Arabidopsis thaliana: one gene and its partners. The protein of the gene in region 3 interacts with the protein of the main gene of each other region in a pairwise test. Each region holds a gene or a part of one and is shown on either strand. Other genes may lie near its edges.

What was found.
Region 1: the proteins of AT1G08580 (region 3) and AT5G55100 interact in a two-hybrid assay, tested with the Arabidopsis thaliana proteins (one large-scale study listed by BioGRID).
Region 2: the proteins of AT1G08580 (region 3) and NAP1;2 interact in a two-hybrid assay, tested with the Arabidopsis thaliana proteins (one large-scale study listed by BioGRID).
Region 4: the proteins of AT1G08580 (region 3) and NAP1;3 interact in a two-hybrid assay, tested with the Arabidopsis thaliana proteins (one large-scale study listed by BioGRID).

What each region holds. Positions count from the first base shown.
Region 1 is NC_003076.8:22,360,590-22,366,784, reverse strand, and holds AT5G55100 (SWAP (Suppressor-of-White-APricot)/surp domain-containing protein), read left to right. Parts: upstream 1-1,960; 5' UTR 1,961-2,120; coding exon 2,121-2,391; intron 2,392-2,549; coding exon 2,550-2,710; exon of another isoform or gene 2,711-3,158; coding exon 3,159-3,893; intron 3,894-4,016; coding exon 4,017-5,384; 3' UTR 5,385-5,488; coding exon of another isoform or gene 5,489-5,504; 3' UTR 5,505-5,669; downstream 5,670-6,195.
Region 2 is NC_003071.7:8,436,617-8,442,050, forward strand, and holds NAP1;2 (nucleosome assembly protein 1;2), read left to right. Parts: upstream 1-1,839; 5' UTR 1,840-1,984; coding exon 1,985-2,030; intron 2,031-2,134; coding exon 2,135-2,178; intron 2,179-2,406; coding exon 2,407-2,502; intron 2,503-2,631; coding exon 2,632-2,724; intron 2,725-2,946; coding exon 2,947-3,034; intron 3,035-3,138; coding exon 3,139-3,200; intron 3,201-3,282; coding exon 3,283-3,467; intron 3,468-3,550; coding exon 3,551-3,728; intron 3,729-3,815; coding exon 3,816-3,859; intron 3,860-3,942; coding exon 3,943-4,159; intron 4,160-4,255; coding exon 4,256-4,273; intron 4,274-4,355; coding exon 4,356-4,424; 3' UTR 4,425-4,885; downstream 4,886-5,434. Other genes in the region: RECA2 (recA DNA recombination family protein), read left to right, coding at 5,116-5,172, 5,356-5,413. UniProt on the Arabidopsis thaliana protein: May modulate chromatin structure by regulation of nucleosome assembly/disassembly. May function in nucleotide excision repair (NER). Involved in somatic homologous recombination.
Region 3 is NC_003070.9:2,714,444-2,718,314, reverse strand, and holds AT1G08580 (uncharacterized protein), read left to right. Parts: upstream 1-1,782; 5' UTR 1,783-1,963; coding exon 1,964-2,125; intron 2,126-2,305; coding exon 2,306-2,372; intron 2,373-2,760; coding exon 2,761-2,841; intron 2,842-2,957; coding exon 2,958-3,019; 3' UTR 3,020-3,321; downstream 3,322-3,871.
Region 4 is NC_003076.8:23,030,866-23,036,214, forward strand, and holds NAP1;3 (nucleosome assembly protein 1;3), read left to right. Parts: upstream 1-1,583; 5' UTR 1,584-1,752; coding exon 1,753-1,798; intron 1,799-1,880; coding exon 1,881-1,924; intron 1,925-2,052; coding exon 2,053-2,148; intron 2,149-2,357; coding exon 2,358-2,450; intron 2,451-2,582; coding exon 2,583-2,670; intron 2,671-2,758; coding exon 2,759-2,820; intron 2,821-2,908; coding exon 2,909-3,093; intron 3,094-3,225; coding exon 3,226-3,403; intron 3,404-3,490; coding exon 3,491-3,534; intron 3,535-3,680; coding exon 3,681-3,882; intron 3,883-3,978; coding exon 3,979-3,996; intron 3,997-4,365; coding exon 4,366-4,434; 3' UTR 4,435-4,828; downstream 4,829-5,349. Other genes in the region: AT5G56940 (Ribosomal protein S16 family protein), read left to right, coding at 14-146, 234-279, 1,107-1,335. UniProt on the Arabidopsis thaliana protein: May modulate chromatin structure by regulation of nucleosome assembly/disassembly. May function in nucleotide excision repair (NER). Involved in somatic homologous recombination. Could be involved in response to abscisic acid (ABA) and to salt stress.

The DNA of each region.
Region 1 (6,195 bases), on a different chromosome or scaffold from region 3:
GCTATATACATCCTGCCTCTAATGGACACTTGCTTTAACTTGAATTCTAAAGTTCTCGATCCGCATACGCCCAATCAACCACGATTATATAATTTAATATATGAAAGGCCATTTTTACATTGTAACTTGTAACAATAGAATAATATGAAAATAATCTATATAAGTCAATAAATAAAAGTTTTTACTTTAGAAACACATGAGCAAGCTTTGTAAGGCTAAGTTCCTTCCATCGTCACTAGTCTTCTGTTCATATCAGACAATCTCTTACATAAATGATGTACAACTCCGTTCTCTTTAGTCTTTTCCATGGAGTAATTCAACTCTTTTTTTCATTCTATCTCTAATCTTCTAATATGGTACCATAGTTCCAAGTATAATTACCCGACATATGATTTCTCATAGTATACATATATAGTCAGTGGCGGATCTAGAACCATAATTAACCCGAGGCACAACATATTTATAAATTTTTAAAATAAAGTACAATATGAACATTTCTTAAAAGACATGTAAATGGAAGAAAATTTTTTGAAGTGTCAATCAACATTGGCAGTACCTTATATTAGCATAATTCCTTCAAACAGTTATAGAAAAAGATAAATAAAGTAAAAATAAGTTAAATACTGAAAACATTTATTACTTGAAAATAGTAAAATTAATGAGTAATAACCAACTGACTAGAAAAAAAGTCACTCTAACATGGGGCACAACAAACGAATTCTTTCATCTACAATACAAATTGCACAACAAACTTCAAAATTATCAAATCTTGCATGGGGCACGTGCCCCAGTACTTATACACTTGCGTCCGCCAATGTATATAGTCCGTTTTGTAGTGATATGTCCGAGACAATGAATATCTCACATTACAAATGAAAATACAAGGTATATAGATCTTTCCACTTTATTTTAAGTTACAAACAAACCCGTGATTCCTGATATAAATATGTGTAATGGAATCCGAATTATGATGTCCATTAGTACGATGATGACCATTAATTAAACTAATACAACTTGCTTTGTTAAATGTATGTTTTTGCATAAATGTGTACAATCTATATTTAGTTTTTGAAACAGTTATATAAAATTTGAATGTCCCTATAGTAGCTTACACTAATATAGCTCTATACACCAACGATCGAACTATCGAAGAAAATTCTTGAATAAACCAGTCAAAGACGTCCACAAGGCACAAATATTATATACGGTGTTGAAGAAAGCAATAGAGAGAGGTCAACGCTTTCCTCCAATTTGTTAAACAATGTATAAACTTTACGTCAAAAAAGTCAAAACCATTCCCTTGTTGCTTATTGGTCATTTTCCGACCTATACGATAATCTTATTGTTTCTCTACGATATCTTTCTGTTGCATTAACTATTAAGCCACACGCAAAGTCGTTTTACATTAACGTTAGTTTAATTAGATAACGTTAGTTTAATTAGTATTATTTCTACAGAGTAATTGCTTTCGAAACTTTTGAAAACAATGTGCCATACAGGTTGTTCAAACATGGTTAGATAGATGCATAAAATTACAAAAATTATATAGAGAGAATATTAAATCACTTAACCATTGTATCATGAGGAGATAGCTTGAAAGCCCTGACAAAGAAAGAGGGTTCATAAGTTACCTAAAAAAGAAAGAAAGAGAGCTCATAATATTTTCATCAAAGTAAAAACTCAATGTGGATAACCGTCACATCAAGACGAGGCAGATACTAGATTGAGCAAAATTCTCCAATGAAATCACAAATGTTGAAGCACTTTAAATTTGGAGATTTCACTGCTTTTTCACTCTTAGGGTGGCTTACATTTATTAAAGTTAAGGTTATGGGGAAAAAATATAAACTTTCTTAAGCAGGGTTGAAAACGCAAAAACATAAAGAATGCACGTCGTTGTTAGTTATTTTCTCCCAAATGCGTGTGGTTTTATTACTTTTCAAACGGCAAGTAAAAAAGTCTTATAAACGACGTCATTTAGTCGACTTGATCTCTTTTGTAAGTCATCACATCTTTGGGTCAATCACGAATTTGGAACATCCGGTTCCAAATTACGGATTACACAGACCCTAGCCTCTTCCCCAAATCCCAATTCTCCATTGCTTTAGAAGAATCACACAATGGATCTAGAGATTGTTGGTCGTCACGCTCTCTTTTTCGACGATGATTCGATGGCAACGTTTGTCAACTCTCCGACGGCGCTCGTTGACTGGAACAGCCTCTTTATTGACCGCTACGATGTTCGTCATCTCCTCTCTTCTCCTCCTCCTCCACGTATCAAACGCCGTCGTCCGAATTCAAACGATGCTGACTTGGAATCGGAGCTCGATCACGAGCGTTATCTAGATTTACCGTCGGAATCTCCATCTCCGTCGGATGATGATGAACACGGTAAGGATGATGAACTCCGTAGAAATCTCCGTTAATCTATATGGTAGAGAGACTCGAACTAGCTATGTTAGAGACATAAAACTGTTCTAGAGAATGATTACGAAAAATTCAGATCGAAACTTAATTTGTTTGCCCTTTGGATTTGCTTTACTCTCCAGATATGAATGAGGATTCAGCAAATACAAATGCGGATGGTTATCGTGCTGTCTCTTTTTCATATGGAAGCTCTAGTGATGTCAATGACCAGAAAAATGCTGCTGATATGGAATCTGGATTTCACCCGCCTTTCCCCGTGCCTGATTACTTACGTCAAAACCTGGTAAGTTATTGCTTTAGATTGTTCCCTTTAGCAGTATGCTAGTTTTTGCTAACTTATTTGGTACTTAAACTGATATTGGCCACGTAAACATCTGAAAGGTGCATTTGTTATTCTAAGGACTACTATGTCTAAGTTTCAGATGCTCGGAGAAGAGATGGAGTTGTCTAAGGTTGTCATTCACATGCACCTTGTTTCCTTTTGCTGCCATGACAAGGGGCAGTGCAGGTGGGATTAAGATGATAAAAATTCATGACTTACCAAGAACCTTAAAACTGATTGCACACCAGATGATGCATTTCTATACAGTTCTGAATTTTGCAATTTATGGTTCTCGATACTTATGTGAGGTTTTATTATGTATATATACCTGCGAGTTGCCAAAGGTGTCATTCATCATATTTCACATTACTAATTTTTTCTTGTATATTTTTTTTCTCTCTTCTTTCAGCCTCCAACTGAGAAATTACATCAGATTATCACTAGGACTTCAAGTTTTGTAAGCAAACACGGTGGGCAATCTGAAATTGTCTTGAGAGTCAAACAAGGAGACAACCCTACATTTGGGTTCCTAATGCCAGACCATCATCTTCACCTTTACTTTAGGTTTCTTGTTGACCATCAAGAGCTTTTGACAGGAAAGTCTTCTGTAGAAGAGAAAAAGAACGAAAGTGAGAAGGATGGTGGAGCTTTGTCATTGCTTGGTTCGGTTTATGGGACTGTAGAAGATGAAGATGCTAACGAAGAGTCTGCAAACGACTCCAAAACAAGTGAGTCCGCCAAAGGTGATGATGGTGTTAAGGTAACTGATTCCAATGGACCTGAAGGGTCGAAAGGAGCTGCAAAGATTGCCTCTAAGCATTCTCTGCCGTTGAATGATCATGCATCTTTCATAAAAAGAAATCCCTCTGTCAGCGCAGTAAATGTTGTAGAGAAGAAGCAGATCAATACAGAAAAACTTGTGACGTCTGATAAGTCGCAACCCAAGCTTGAACTGCAGATTGTGGAGCCGACTACTGAGATGAAAAGAGTGATTGATAAGATAGTAGACTTCATTCAAAAGAACGGGAAAGAACTAGAGGCTACTCTTGTTGCACAGGATGTGAAATACGGGATGTTTCCATTCTTACGTCCATCTAGCTTATACCATGCATATTATCGGAAGGTTCTCCAAGAAGCCGAAGAGGTAATTCTGTTTCAAGTTCTTAAAATGTTCCTGCTACAAATTTGGTGTGTTTTCACGTGCTTTTTAAACCTTGTGATTGTAACTTTCACTAAAATGTAAAACGTTGGTTGATTTCATATGCAGTTAAAATCAGGTGACAAAGGCGTTATTATCAGAAAAGAAGACGTGAAGCAAGAGAAGATGGGCAATGCTGTAAAAGATAGCAAACACGGGTTTGGGAGTGTTTTACCAGATGATTCTGCCAAGAAAGAGAAACTAAAAATGGTTAGTGACAAACCAAAGGTCGAGTTGCACAATGAACCATTCAAGCCTGTCCAACCGCAGATGAGGGTCAATGTGGATGCGAATACTGCTGCTGCTATTCTTCAAGCGGCTAGAAGAGGCATAAGGAATCCCCAGTTGGGGATTCTAACAGGCAAACCCATGGATGAGACTTCTCAGACCCTTGGAAATGATGTGAGTTACCCTTCATCTAAGTCCCCTGATTTGGCCAAATCTACAGGTCAATCACTCTCTGGCTCGACTGCTGCTAGTGAAGCTGATTCTTCTGAAGCAGGCTTGTCTAAAGAGCAGAAGTTGAAGGCAGAAAGATTGAAACGTGCAAAAATGTTTGTGGCCAAGTTAAAACCTGATGCGCAGCCAGTTCAACAAGCTGAACCGTCGCGAAGCATATCAGTCGAACCGTTGGACTCTGGGATTTCTGGATTAGGTGCTAAGGCTGCCAAAGAAAGAGACAGTAGCTCGATTCCATATGTAGCTGAGTCAAAACTAGCGGATGATGGTAACAGTGAAAGACGATCAAAGAGGAATTACCGTTCGAGATCACAGAGAGATGAAGATGGTAAGATGGAACAAGGAGAAGAGGAAGAGAGCAGCATGGACGAAGTTACAGAAGAAACCAAGACTGATAAGAAGCATTCATGTAGTAGAAAACGGCATAAACATAAGACACGATACTCTTCCAAGGACAGACATTCTCGGGACAAGCACAAGCATGAGAGCTCCTCAGATGATGAGTATCACAGTCGTTCGCGTCATAGACACAGACACAGCAAATCTTCAGATAGGCATGAGCTTTATGATTCTTCTGATAATGAGGGTGAGCACCGACACAGATCCAGTAAGCATAGCAAAGACGTTGATTATTCTAAGGACAAGCGTAGCCATCATCACAGATCCAGGAAGCATGAAAAGCACCGTGATTCATCTGATGATGAACATCATCACCACCGACACAGATCCAGTAGACGCAAGCACGAGGACTCTTCAGACGTTGAGCATGGTCATCGTCACAAGTCTAGTAAACGTATAAAGAAAGATGAGAAAACAGTGGAAGAGGAGACTGTTTCAAAGTCAGATCAGTCTGATCTTAAAGCATCTCCTGGAGATAACATCCCGTATCTGCAAAATGAACCATCTCAAGTTTCGGATGAGCTAAGAGCCAAAATCCGTGCCATGTTAGCTGATACCTTGTACGTTTCTTCTAACTGAACGACTCTTGAAGACTTTCTAGTTCTATTTAGGTGTCTACTAGTATTAAGTTGACAATGTCAATGATTGGGTCTGATCGATTAGCGGGTTTGTTCGGTTTTCAGGGGAGATGGTCGGTGAGCATCTGAAGCATAAAGGTCACCGATGTTGCCTACGAGAAGAAGAGTTGTAATATTAAATTTTAATGTATTTTGCAAACTATTTACGAAATTACTCTGAAAAAGACCTTTTAAAGAAACCTTTTTAATCTGTGCATTTGCAAACTATAAACCTTTTAAAGAAAAATCTGTGCTTTTGTTAATCAGTTAATCATCAGACCTTATCATAGAAATTTATTTAGTAGCCAATTTGCATTACAATATTACTAAAAGAAACTTGATTCACACTTATGAGACGTTTTTTGCATACATCATTATCATCCCCACGTAAGGTGTACGACGTACTTTAACTTCTGAAATGGTGCCGCTCATCGACGAAAGTGTTCAGCACAAATCTGGCTATTATGTAAAAAACGTCTTTTGAGATGCTTGGAAGTAAGGGTGAAGATAAGAGTGAGTTTTTTTTTTCACTTTGTTGACGTAATAAAGAAAGAAACTCTACAAAGAAGATATAAATTGTTTGTCAATGTCATAGACTGACTCATAGTGCATTTACTTGAAGTTTACCCTTATCGGTCGAACCTTACTTAGCCTCTCTTCTCGATTGAAAAGGCAATAATATTATTCAATAAAACTTCTTTTTGGGATCGAATCTATCTTTTTAGACTTTTCTATCTATGTTCTACAATTTCATTGGCTAATGCTTTGTTGGA
Region 2 (5,434 bases), on a different chromosome or scaffold from region 3:
AATATACAGTATATTTCTTAGAAACTTTATAATAAGAATAAGGATTTTGTTTTTATATTTTCCTAAATTCCATAAATCTCTTAAGTTTACAAATTCATATATCTTTTAACATTTAAACAAATAACCAGACTTCTAGTAATATATATAAATTTATTTAGGGAGTGTTATTGGTTTGTGATGTATTCGAAGTTTCAGTGACTTAAAATGTTATGAAGAATTTGTTGTTATTCAATAAAGATTTTTCAATTTTTTGTTAAAGTTTGGTGTTATTAGTTTAAGATTTGTAAAAAGTAATATAAAATCTTCATAAATGTAGAGTTATTGGATTCATATTTTTATAAAGTTATTAAATTTTTTGTGTAATTCATTTAAAACAAAGAATCTATGATTATTATAATGAATTAAATTATTGTGTTATTGGTTTATGACTTTCTACCCTTTTTTTTATAAAATAAAGTTGTGAAAAATATCATACCCTTTTTTTTTACAAAATAAAGTTGTGAAAAATATCATAAAAATAAAGAAATTGTTTGAGAAACTTTACAAAATTATTAAAAACTAATCAACAAGTTTATTAATGACCTTAAACCAAAATAGGTACATATAATATTAGATAGATCATGCAAATGCGTTTGGTGGTTATGTTACTTTTGTATCATTTGATTGGCATGATGTTCTACATTTTTTTACCATTTCTCTATTCTTAAGTCGAAATCTTTAGGACCAAATAAGCATTTTTCCCTAAACTAACAAAGCAGCATCTCACTAGATGTTTTCCAATCAGATTTGCTTACTATAGTGTGCTAATATGAAATTTGAGTGACTCATGACAATGCATCAATCCAGATTAAGCATTAACATGTGATCAGCTAGCATTCATGAGAATATGAGAATTGTCTTCGAGCTAAAAGAAAGTAGACTCTTTTTTCACTTGAGAAACTCATGACATACTTTTTTTTTATATACATTTGTTTTTTGATGATTAGGTTAAACTTTTGTAATAAATAAATTTTTAGTTAAATAAATAAACTTCTATCATCAAAAGACTCGTGAGTTTCTTCCTATGTTGCAATGAAATGGAAACGAAAACGCGAATACGAAACGTTTCGGAAACGAGAAACGATTTTTTCTTAAAATTAGGGATTGGAAACGATTTTTTCTTAAAATTAGGGATTGGAAACGTATACACATACATACATATATATATATATATATATATAACATTAACATAAAACTATATTAAAGAAAAAATGGTTTAAACAATACAAGTCCAAAACATCAATATTAAATAAATAAACTAAAATTCTAAAAGATAAAAATTAAAAGGTTCAAGTTCAAATAGTTAATTTAGACCAACATTTTCATTTTCATTAGTTTCATCAAAGATAATATAAAGCTCTTTTCAAATCTGGTTTATCAAAAGAAATATCTTAAAACTCAAAGTCTTCCAAAATTAGTTATATGTATTAATAATTTTAATAATTTTAATTTTAGTTATTAAATTTTCAAAGTTGAAAAAAATTTGTCGTATGTCTATTTGGGAAACATGAGTTTCTATCTTTAAAACGTAAGTTTCCATCGTGTTTCCAAACATAAATTTTTAAAAAACGCGTTTCCGTTACGTTTTTCATGTTTCCGGAGAGTTTCTGTTTTCGTAACGTTTCGGAAATGGGAAATAGACCTCGGGGCGAGTTTCCATGCAACCTAGATTTCTTCTAACCAATAGAAATGCTCTTAAAAGCCTTTTTTTAAAAAAAATCAACAGAAATGCTCTTAAATGTTAAAAACAAATATTCATGCCAAATTTTGATGTAAAAATTTGTTATTTTCGCTTTAGTTGTGTCTTATTTCGGTCTGGTCATTTTCTCAAAGCCCTTTTAGTTATTTATATATATATTCTCTGTCTCGTATTTGTCCCCAAAAATCTAGGGTTTTAAGGTTTCTTATCCTTCCTCTTCCTCCGCCAGATTCTTTTCTTGCGAAGATGAGCAACGACAAGGACAGCATGAACATGTCCGATCTCTCCACCGGTAAGATATTATAATCTTATTGTCCTATAGAATGAGGCCTGGATTCTCTTTTGTTCTCTTGATTTATTGAAAAAAGCTTCTCTTGTTTTGTGTTTTGCTTATAGCTCTTAACGAGGAGGATCGTGCCGGGCTTGTTAATGCTCTTAAGGTGAGTTTTTTCTTCACGATATGATTTGCGTATGACTATCTGGAGATTGGGCTATTCATCTTTGTAACTTTTAGGGATTGTTTTCTCTTCCTGACTAGTTTTGAGAAATTGATTTGATTCTTATGGCTTAGAGAATTTGACTTTGGTTTTGAGGATTGTCTATGCATCTTAATTTGGTTGTTTGAAAGTTTGTGACTTTTCCTGATTTGATTTACGTGTTTGCTGCAGAACAAGTTGCAGAATTTGGCTGGACAACACTCTGATGTCCTTGAAAACTTGACTCCACCAGTCAGGAAGCGTGTCGAGTTTCTAAGAGAGATTCAGGTGAGTAAATTTTCAGCTTTTAGATGATCTTGGATTTTGTATTGGTTTTGAATTAGCTGGCTGTTCAGGTCTAATGAGTTTTTGGTGGAGCAAATTTATCTGATTCCTTTTGTATTTTAACCTTTGCAGAACCAATATGATGAGATGGAAGCAAAATTCTTTGAGGAGAGAGCAGCTCTTGAAGCTAAGTATCAAAAGTTATATCAGCCTTTATATACCAAGGTTTGAATACGGTCTTTGATTCTGCGAGATTCTTATGGTCTTTAGTTTCCTATTATTAGAATATCTTTGAAACACATGATGACACCTCAATTGATAAAGGTTTAATAAGACTTCTCTCTGTTGCTACTTACGTGAATGATTAGTGCTTCATGGTTTTCACTTCTTTCTGCATCATTCGTGATTGTAACTGATATTGATGGTCTTCTGCCTTCTGCATCACAGCGATATGAGATTGTGAATGGTGTGGTCGAAGTTGAAGGTGCAGCTGAAGAAGTAAAATCCGAACAAGGAGAAGATAAATCAGCTGAAGGTGTGTTTATCGATTCTTTTACTGAAACATGTTTATTTTTAGTATCTTATGATGATGATGGTGAACTCATGATTTTTATATGATATGAAACTGTCTTTCTGCAGAGAAAGGAGTACCAGATTTCTGGCTTATTGCATTGAAGAACAATGAAATTACTGCGGAAGAGGTTCGTTATTAGAATATTCTTCTTTTTGGTTTATAAAATGGCGATTCTCTTTATCATTATGTGGTTTTTTCCACGGTTTTAGATAACTGAGCGAGATGAAGGGGCTCTCAAGTATCTCAAAGATATCAAGTGGAGTAGGGTTGAAGAACCAAAAGGGTTCAAGCTTGAGTTTTTCTTTGATCAGAATCCTTACTTCAAGAACACTGTCTTGACCAAGACATATCACATGATTGATGAAGATGAGCCTATCCTTGAGAAGGCCCTCGGGTAATGTTTTGCTCTATCAAGTATTTACTGTTTATGTTCTGAAGACAATAAGTCTTTATTGACTGTCGTTTACTGCTGTTCAGGACGGAGATTGAGTGGTATCCTGGAAAGTGTTTGACACAGAAGATTCTAAAAAAGAAGCCAAAGAAAGGATCCAAAAACACAAAGCCGATCACTAAGACTGAGGACTGTGAGAGTTTCTTCAACTTTTTCAGTCCACCTCAAGTTCCTGACGATGATGAGGATCTTGATGATGACATGGTATTTCCATCTCCATAAGCAGTTTAGTTTTTAGAGTCAGTAATTAAGATTGTGTTGGATTTTAATCTGATCATCTAATATTCACAGGCTGATGAACTCCAAGGACAAATGGAGCATGATTATGATATCGGGTGTGTACCTTTCTATTTCATATTCAGTTCTCTTCACTTAGTTCAGTTCTAGGATCTGAGTCTGTCCACTGTTTATCCTGTAGTTCAACAATCAAAGAGAAAATCATCTCGCATGCTGTGTCATGGTTCACTGGTGAAGCTGTTGAGGCAGATGACCTTGATATTGAGGACGACGATGATGAGATTGATGAAGATGATGATGAAGAGGACGAGGAAGATGATGAGGATGACGAGGAGGAGGATGATGAGGATGATGACGAGGAGGAAGAAGCAGATCAAGGAAAGAAGAGCAAAAAGAAGGTAAATTATGTGGTTTTGTTCTACTTAAAACCTTCCTACATAGGAAACTAAAACCTCTGAAACTGATTTGGTGGTTTATCTTTTGTTTTGTTGCAGTCATCAGCTGGGCACAAGGTTTAACAATCAATCAATCTCGATCTTTTTTTTTTGTTGATAATGCAATGGCTAACCTGAGGTATCCTTTTTTAATGAACAGAAGGCTGGAAGAAGTCAACTTGCGGAAGGTCAAGCAGGTGAGAGGCCACCGGAATGTAAGCAGCAGTGAAGAAGTGAAGAATCTTGGCTTAGTTATGATGAAGAAGAAGAGTGAAGAGTGTCTTTGAGCCGAGGTTGTGTTTCTTTAATTTGCAGAGTCATGGTCCGGTTTATTATATATCAGTTTTGGGTGATTGGTTTGCTATTTAAAAAAAAAAAATGGGTTCTTTGGTTTGGTTTGTGTCTCTTGATTTTTCCTTTTGTAATGATCTTATGAATTTGTTTCGAGTTAATGTCGTTCTCTGGTCAGATTTCGAATTCAATTCTATTTATCCTCCCTCGTTAATGAGAGAATTTGTGAGACAATCTAGTTTACTTAAGATTGATCGAATTTTATAAACCAACATTACCAAACCGTCAAATAATTAAAACCAATCAATCTTATTTATCGGTTTGCATAACCCATCAATGAGCCGGTTTAGACATCGGTTTGAGTTTCTCTGGGAAAGACAAAAGTCAAAAACATCTCTGCCGACTTGTAAAAGACCGATCAACAGAAACCCAAAAAAAATAGTTGAAACGGAGGGAAACGAAAACCTAAAACCCTAAAAAACTCTTCCTTTTTTTTTTCCAGTGAAATTTCTCTTCTTCTCCGTTTTCATACAAGTCTGACTTCTGGGTAGTTGGAATTTTCCAGTTTTTGGTTTGTTTCTGTATCTGTGGTTTAAAAAAGTGGAGAAGAAGCTTTTTAGTGCTTTTCTATGGCGAGGATTCTCCGAAACGTTTATTCACTGAGAAGCTCTCTGTTTTCGTCAGAGGTATGTTTATCGTGTTTCTCATTTGGGTATTACGAGAAATTAAAAAAACTCTGTTACTGTCGTTTTCATTGCTTATTTGGGTATTCATTCATGAGAAAGAATCCGAAATGTTGTCTCTTAATTTGAATTCATTCTTTTTTTCTGGGTAATGTTTATTGACAAGGGTTTCATGGGGTTTTGCAGTTACTTAGAAGAAGTGTGGTTGGAACATCGTTTCAGCTCCGAGGCTTTGCTGCCAAAGGTTGTCTTAAGCTTTTACCTT
Region 3 (3,871 bases):
ATGAAGAAATCGTGGGTTTCTGAACAGCTAGCTAAATCATAAAACACTGAGTGACTTGTAAAGCTTTGTCCTCATTAGAGATTTGTGGGACAGTGAAACATGGGCAGAGAATGTGTCTCACTTACTGTCCAATATAACTATTTTCTATTCAAAGATGATGGCTAATTAGGCAAGATCAAAGTCTTTTAAGAAAACTACCATTTTAGTTCTACCTCACCAATGATTTGACACAAACAATGTTTTTTTACAAATGATTTAACTTCACTTAAATATGAGTAACTAAAGAACGCAAAGTTTTTATTGGTTATAAGGTTAGTTATATCATCCTTGGCGGTCGAGCTAGGTTGAGTTTCCGCATGTCTTCATTAGTCGGGAGAATGTTTTGTTTCGAATGGCGTCATTAAAAAAACACACATGAAAGATGATGGTCGTGAGAGAATCTTCCCACGTTGTTCCAACATAATTAAAATTAGGAAATAAGAAAGTTCATAACTCCATTGCCAAGTTGCAAGTAGCTAGGAACGTCCCATGACACCTACGTAGAGACTAGAGAGATATACATACATCAAATATATCTACTTACACATGCATTGAAAAAAAAAAATACAAATACATTAATTAAATTATTGCATTCATGTAGACATATATGTTTTTCTAGATCTTATAAACACAGATTTTAATGTTTTTCAAAATACGATTATCAGAATTTTTTTTTCTCTGTATATTAGTTTGAGTTGAGAGATTTAAGGCCATACATATGATATATGCATAAAGTTTGCATATTAATGCATTTTTAGACAAGGAGCTTCAATAAACTATGCATATGACATCAAGACGTAACTGAATATGTAGCCCTAAGTCCGTAACCGAATTTGTTTATATTCGTGTGGTTGCAACTTGTGAGTAAATATGCATGCTGATTGCGTGAAGAACAAAGTAGCATTAAGTGCTCTCACGATATCAAAATAAAGTTTAGAACCATCGAAAAGGGCCATCTATCATTTTTATTTTGTTCTTAAAATCTAAAACATATATATTCGATCGGATATACCCATTAAATGAATGAATCATGTTCACATTAGAAGAATCACCATAATTGATCCCAAAAACTATATGAAACATATTCTCGTGAGTGTATAGACTTTTTGGAGATCGATATCTTAATTAATACATCTAGCACAACTCTATATATTCTTGCGGATTAACATCTAAATTTTACGTACCTCGAGCATATATATCCATTATCGACTATCGAGTATCGACTATCGGTTCGTCCAACACATTTAATTGTTGTAGGTTTGCAAGGTAGATATGGACAGTACCTCTAATTAAAGTTCTTTGTCCTTTCAAATTTATCCTCTATTATCATATTCATAAGAAGGAAAAAATAATTGCTCAAATCTAACTTTATAATATGCCCTTTCATATTTCACATGCACCCATATGGGACTTTTTATCATAATCAACATTTTAAAATATAAAATACCGAATGGAATAACAACAATACATCCTATATGTGAATGATAATGCATGCATTAATTATTAATTATATGTATATATACTAATGATGAGATCATAATTTCGATAGTTTAGAGAGAAGATGAGGCTGGAGAGCATGTGCTAAGAGCTTTCCATTAACCATCTAAACACTTAAATCTAATTAGTTTAGCCACATTTTGTTTTTTTGTAATTAAATTTCACATTTTTTTTATTTTAAGAAGAAGTTCAGATTTCAATAATTTGACGTCTTTCAATTTGAGCCGAATCAAACCGAACCGGATTAATTGTTATTTTTCTCAAGCAGCAACGATAAAAAAGATATCTAAAAGGCCCAAATAAGAAATTGAGAAAAGGCCCAAATAGAATTCGTGCGACTGTGGAATTTAGGGTTTTGCATCGAAGTTGGTTTTTAGGTATTAAGTGAGCGAGGCGTCGAAGCTAGGGGTTTGGGTAGAGTAGTAAGATGGCCAAGTACAACGAGATTGCGAAGAAGAAGAGAGAGGCTAAAGCCGATAGAAAACGAGCCATTCACGGCGATCCTCTCACCAATAAATTGAAGACCAGAACTCCGGTCCCCTCCGTCTCCGGCAAACGTCAGAGAAAGCTCCTTCGCAAATGGCGCAGAGTATGTAATTCCTTGATTTAATTGGTTTATTCTAAGATGGAGAATCACACTAGGTCATAGTCCTATGTGGGTTCATGTCTTTTGAGTAGTTATATAAGCTTTGAATGCAATTAGAGCTTCTGTTTTGAAAATATCAAGTGGTTAAAGTAGTTAAGAAAGAGTTGTTTGATTCGTCAACAGGAGCAGAAAGATATGGTGGAGAAGGGTCTTGTTACTATGGAAGATGTGGAGATGGCTTCTGCTCAAGGTATATCTTCACCCTGAAATAAAGCTACTCAGCTTTTGATGTGTTGATTGATCTCTTGACTTCACTTTGTTTACAGCATGAATGAAGTCTTGTCCTTAGAAATCTTGTTTTATTGCGATTGGGATTGCGAAATATCAGTTAGGAATCAACTCTCAATGCTTAGAAATGTATAGTATATCTTGAATTTGGTTATCAATGTAGACTTTGAACCTAAACCTGAAAGCTATTGGTCACATATTCATAGGAATGTCCTTTTTTTGTATTTGGTTTGTGTATCTCACGAAATTATTCAGCACAAAGGCTTGTTTGGAATCCTTTTGGTCTTGTGACTTTAAAATTTAGTTGTCTTGCTTAATTAATAGCTGATCTCTTCCGTCTGGTTTATCAGCTGCATCAGAAGACTCCAAGAAATCCCCCAGAAAATTTAGCGTTAAGAAGAGCTTGAAGTTGAACAAACTAAATAATAAAGGTAATCCTTAAGCTTTTGCCAGCCTCTGATATCTCATACTGTCTAAATAACTATTATCACTTGATTCAAATTTGCCGATAATGGAAAGTAACAAGATCTTTGCATACATGTACCAGGCAAAAAGAAGAAAAACCAGAAAGCCAGTGGTGAAAAATCTGCTGATTGTATGCTAGAATGAGTGTCGTGTATACCTGTAAACCCATTTCTTCTAACGGATGATAGAGGTTTCTCAATGTCTGGTTAGATTCTTTCAAAAATGTGAAACGTGTGTTTTTGCATCCGGAGGATGCGAAGCAGAGGAATGGAGGGTTTGATATGATTTTATTTAAGTTTTCCGAATCCTTTAATTTCTCAATCTAATTTTTGTCTTATCAAAATATCATATTTTGTATTCATTCTTTCTGGTATGTGGTGCCTTTGACGGAGAGTTAGAATATGGAGCAATTTGATAAAAACCCAACTCAATTTTCCTTTCTCTCACTGAAACAGCAAAATTAACCAAGTTAAAGTACCACTAATCCAAACTAAAAAAGTACCATTAATCCTAGAGCTTTTTCTAGGTGACGTTAATATAGTCGACGTTAGTCCTATGGTAACGTAATGTCCCAAGAGACTAACCACACTACAGAAATCTGAAGCCCTTGCAGATCTTATATGTTTTATTCTAAAGATGTTGAAGAGAGGACCATAACAAATACATGTATGATAATCAAACTTCAAACAGAGAAAGTACCAACTTAGGAAAAACCATAATATATACTAACATTAGATACTAATTCATAGATCCTTCATGACATTGTATGATAATCCTCATTGGATTTTTATTTACATTAAATTCTTAAAGCAAATAAAAAACAAACAAAGAAACCAAAACTCTACTGAAGCTGATTGAAAGGAGAAAGCTTCCATGCTGCCGAGCGCACGACCTTCCACTCCAATCCCATAAGAACTGAGCAAAACTCAAGTAACCATCGGAACTGGTTTTGCTCTAGGTAAACCCAGAGGCCAAGAACCGATTTTGCTCAGGGGA
Region 4 (5,349 bases), on a different chromosome or scaffold from region 3:
AGGGAGGAGAAACATGGTTGTACGTATCAGACTGTCGAGATTTGGATGCAAAAATCGGCCATTTTTTAGGGTTATGGCTGCTGATAGCAGATCTCCAAGAGACGGGAAGCATCTTGAGGTCTTAGGTTACTTCAATCCTTTGCCAGGTGATTGACAAAACAAAATGTATTCCAATTGGTGTTGTTCGTAGAGTTTTCGATTAAAATACACGATCTCTTGGTCTATGTGTTCAGGCCAGGACGGTGGTAAGAGGATGGGTCTCAAGTTCGATCGAATTAAGTATGTTTCTTCTCATCTAATTCTCTAGTTTCTTATGTTTTTTTCGGTAAAATCAGGTAGGTTTTGGGTTGAATTTACTCAGAAAGAGGTCTCTGAATGCTTCACTAGATGATTAAGGCTTTTCTGCATTTGAAGTGTTTTGGTTAATTGCTAAAGTTAGCTTCTAGCCGCCTCTAGATATCTTAATGCATTGTTGTATAGTCAACATTGTGTTATAGTTAACTATCTTTCGATCTGATACAAAGGAGCTGAGTTCAGTCTTTGAATGGTTTTTGTTATCGAAAGGCGAATGAATCTACATGTTTCCCATGGTTGGTTTTGATCACTTTCTTTCTCTTCATGGTATTGAACCATTAGTTGAAGCAATTTTCTACCTCATTTAATCACTAACTTATGAAAGGAAAAACTGAAATATTTGTGGAAATTCATCAACAAGTTTTGTTATATAACAAATGAAACTTCTCCGCCAGTCTTGAGTCTTTCTATGGAACTTCTGCTCTGAGTTCTGGAATTGTTTCTTATTAGTGTAAGATGAAGAACCTGTTGATTATCTATTCGTATACACACTTACTTACATTCTTAATTGTTCACCATATACAACCTCTTTTGCATAATTGTATGGTCATGTAGCTTTAGAATCTTGTCATGCTCTTTATCATCATCTAAAATTAAGATTATAATGTCCGGATATTAGAAGAACACATGTCAAGACTACTTAAAAGTTAGATCCTGGTCTGTCTTTCTTTTGTTCTGAATGACTAGTTTCAACAGAGGATGCATATAGTTTGATTAATGGACATTTTGTTTGATTCTCTTGTTCTGTACAGGTACTGGTTATCTGTTGGTGCTCAGCCATCAGACCCGGTTCAACGTCTCCTATTCAGATCCGGTTTACTTCCTCCTCCTCCAATGGTGGCTATGGGACGTAAAGGTGGAGCACGAGACACACGCCCAGTTGATCCGATGACTGGTCGCTATGTGGATGCAGAGAATAAAACAGTTAATGCCAATGATAACCAGCCTAAGGAAGAGGATACAGAAGCCAAGAGTGCATGATTCATTAGCCTTCTGTCATCGTAGCTTTTCAAGTTCACTTTGTTGTCGATTATATTGTGTAATGCAGCATTAGACAACTGACTTGTTTCCTTTGTTTGGCGATAAACGGCAAGGTGTTTGGCACTTTTTGCAGAAACGGCACATATTTTGCATTGGGATATTTTAGATTTTAAAAAATGAAAAAGTAAATAAAAATGCCAGCGAGGGAATTAAAAAAAAAAGAATGGCAGTTGTTAGGTTTAAATTTTATAAAGGAGGAAGCCACGTTTTGCGTTTAGTCGCCACCCAGAAAAAACCCTCAAGTCTTCTTCTTCTTCCTCAATCTCTCCACCTCTTTTCAAACCTTCTTCACACTCTCTCTCAATCAATCCTTTTTCTTCTCAAATCTTTCAGTTTTGATCTCTAAATTTCCAGAAAATGAGCAACGATAAGGACAGTTTCAATGTCAGCGATCTCACTTCTGGTAAATCTATATCTCCGATTTTGTTTCTGCGGCTTTGCTTCTTCTTAGTCAAAGTTTTAGAAGCTTTTTTGTTTGTTTGCAGCTCTTAAAGATGAGGATCGAGCTGGTCTTGTCAACGCTCTTAAGGTGAGTTTCTCTATCTCTTCTTATATCGATTTGCATTATACTTGAAGAGGAACATGTAATTTGGGCGTTTCGTCATTTTATAGTTTCTGTGGAGATTTTTTTGTAACTGTTATGTGTTTGATTCACAGAACAAGCTCCAGAATCTAGCTGGACAACATTCTGATGTGCTCGAGAATCTGACTCCTAAAATTAGAAGGCGTGTTGAGGTTTTGCGGGAGATTCAGGTTTGGGAAAACTTCCATTCACTTTTTATGAGCTCTATGCTTATGTTGTGATTAACGTTTCCTATATAAGCTTTTGTTCAATAGATTGGTGTAGATTGATATGGTATCTTGTGAGTATGATGTTGAAATGTATATTTGTATGCTTTTGATTATATGAGAATGCTGTGCATTCTTTTGATGATTATCTGAGAATCCTTTTCGTTTTTTAGGGCAAACATGATGAAATAGAGACAAAATTCCGCGAGGAGAGAGCTGCTCTTGAAGCCAAGTATCAAAAGTTATATCAGCCTTTGTATAACAAGGTAATTTGGTTGTAGCAAGATTAAACTATTTTGAAAAATTTAGTTATCCTGTATTTTCTTTATTTCCAGCTGTGTTGGCTTTAGTTAGCTTCGAATTTCTCTTGACACTGGCTTGACATTTGGAATGTGCAGCGTTATGAGATTGTGAATGGAGCTACTGAAGTTGAAGGGGCTCCAGAGGATGCTAAGATGGACCAAGGAGACGAGAAAACTGCAGAAGGTACTCTCTCTCTCTCTTTGCCTTTGTAAATTGTAATCATTCTTGCAAGAAAAAAACAATTTGCTTATTTCACCGGGCTGGATTGCAGAGAAAGGAGTCCCTAGTTTCTGGCTGACTGCTCTGAAAAATAATGATGTTATATCTGAAGAGGTTGGTGTTACATCTATGATTGTTCATTTAGAGTTACTTAATCATATCCATGGAAATTGACCAGAGTTTTAATTTCTTTTGATTTCAGATCACAGAGCGTGATGAAGGAGCCCTTATATATCTTAAAGATATCAAGTGGTGCAAGATTGAAGAACCAAAGGGATTCAAACTTGAGTTTTTCTTCGACCAGAATCCTTACTTCAAAAACACCCTATTAACAAAGGCGTATCATATGATTGATGAAGATGAGCCTCTGCTTGAGAAGGCTATTGGGTAATTGTTGATAACTTTTTTGTAATATTTATTCCCTAGCATATTTTGTTCTGAGATTCTTCCAAGGAGCTGCGGAATCTTGTACTGACTTATGCACTAACATGGATTTTGATTCTTTGTTCTTTGTCTCAGGACAGAGATTGATTGGTATCCTGGAAAATGCTTAACTCAGAAGATTCTTAAGAAGAAGCCTAAGAAAGGTGCAAAGAATGCCAAGCCAATTACCAAAACTGAAGATTGTGAAAGCTTCTTCAACTTCTTCAATCCTCCCCAAGTTCCTGATGATGATGAAGACATTGACGAAGAAAGAGTATGATATCATTTGGTTTTAAGACAGGCCCTATTTTGACTATGTTTGATTATACTTTTGTAGTAATGTTTTCTGTTCTTGGTGCAGGCCGAGGAACTTCAGAATCTGATGGAACAAGATTATGACATTGGGTTCGTCTTCTTGAACATAAACTCTGTCAATTTAATATATTCCGTCTAACTTATTACCAACTGTATAAGAGCTCTAGCTAGCATCTTTTATCGGAAAGTTAATACATTATTTAGTATCTGATTCAAGTATTCCTTGCTTCTTGCAGTTCTACAATCCGGGAGAAGATCATACCTCATGCTGTCTCATGGTTTACTGGTGAGGCTATTGAGGGAGAGGAGTTTGAAATAGACAATGACGATGAAGATGATATCGATGAGGATGAAGATGAGGATGAAGAAGATGAAGACGAAGATGAGGAAGAAGACGACGAAGATGAGGAGGAAGAAGTAAGCAAGACCAAAAAGAAGGTATTGGATTCCTCTTGTTTCATTTCTTCTTGTCATGGAATTACCTTTTCTGAGTTAGTTACTAACTTTTTGATATTGTGTTGAATGTTTATGCAGCCATCAGTCTTACACAAGGTACATAGCCATATTCCACCCTTCTTATAGTATTTGTCTGAGTTAATTAGATAATCCGATACCAATGAGTCATACAACGGTCATAAACTATTGACATTTATAGGCTAGACCATGATCTAAAAAGTAGAGAACATGACCCGTGAATTAGGAGATAGCTGAAATTAACTGATTAAGCTCACTATGCACGAATCTGTGAATCATAGAAACTTGAACTCTTATATGACTGAGAATTATAAATGAAACTATGTAGAATCCTTCTCATGCATATTTATAAGCTTAGGCTAAATCTAGTACTTGCAAACCATTGTGCTATGTTTGTGATAATGAGATGGATTCTATAGTCATACTCTTTTTGAAATCATATTGCAGAAAGGAGGGAGACCTCAGGTTACCGATGATCAACAAGGAGAGAGGCCTCCTGAATGCAAACAACAGTAAACAAAATCGAAAAGTCTAAACGAAAACCAGTAAAAGAAAAACAAATGTTTTGGGTTTTGAGTGAAGTTTCATGGCCTAGTTTTTTGCTTCCATGTAAGGCAAAATGTTTTGAAGACTGCTCATAGGAATGTTGCTGTAGGCAAAAGAGTGAGTTTCTCCATGTGGAGATACTTGATAAATTATTTTTGGTGCATTTGTTTTTTTTTTTTTTAATCACTAAGTTGAATTTTGGTGTGTTCGTCAAAATTATATCTTTTTACCACTTGAATTAAGTCTCTTTTGGTTTCTTTAATTTAAAAATAAATAAATCTTATCATTGTTTTTTTTGTGTGGACATAAGTGTATTATTCTTATTGTAAACCAAGAAAAAAGAACAGAAAGAAATTTGTTTTCATGTAGTTTCTTCTTCAATGGGTCGATTAGTATTTCATTATGGTCAAAGTCAAATTAATCACACACCGTGACCATTAGCAATTTAGCATTAGTGAGTGTCGTTATTCGTTAATAAATCAATTAATTGAGTCATTTAAATAGTAAACGTTAAAATCAAAGATGCACACGAAAGGGACTCTTTCTATATACAGAAAAAAATATATGTACTTGTTTTAATAGTTGATTTTGACTCCAAATGGAATTTGCTGATTCTACCAAACAACGGTTTTGGATTAATGCGTATTTGTTTTTGAATATTTTGCTTCACCGTAACAAATCATGTCCTCTCAAGGACTGAAGATTCTTTTATCAGTTAATTACAAATACAATTAGTGCTAATGAATCATTTCACATTACCCTGAGGTTATCAAACTATTGACTTCAAATCTTTGTCGTCCATTGACTTTTTTTTTTTTTACAGCTTTGTCGTCCATTGACTATAAATGTTATATTGGAGTATTGTTTAAGCGTGATTAATTTTTT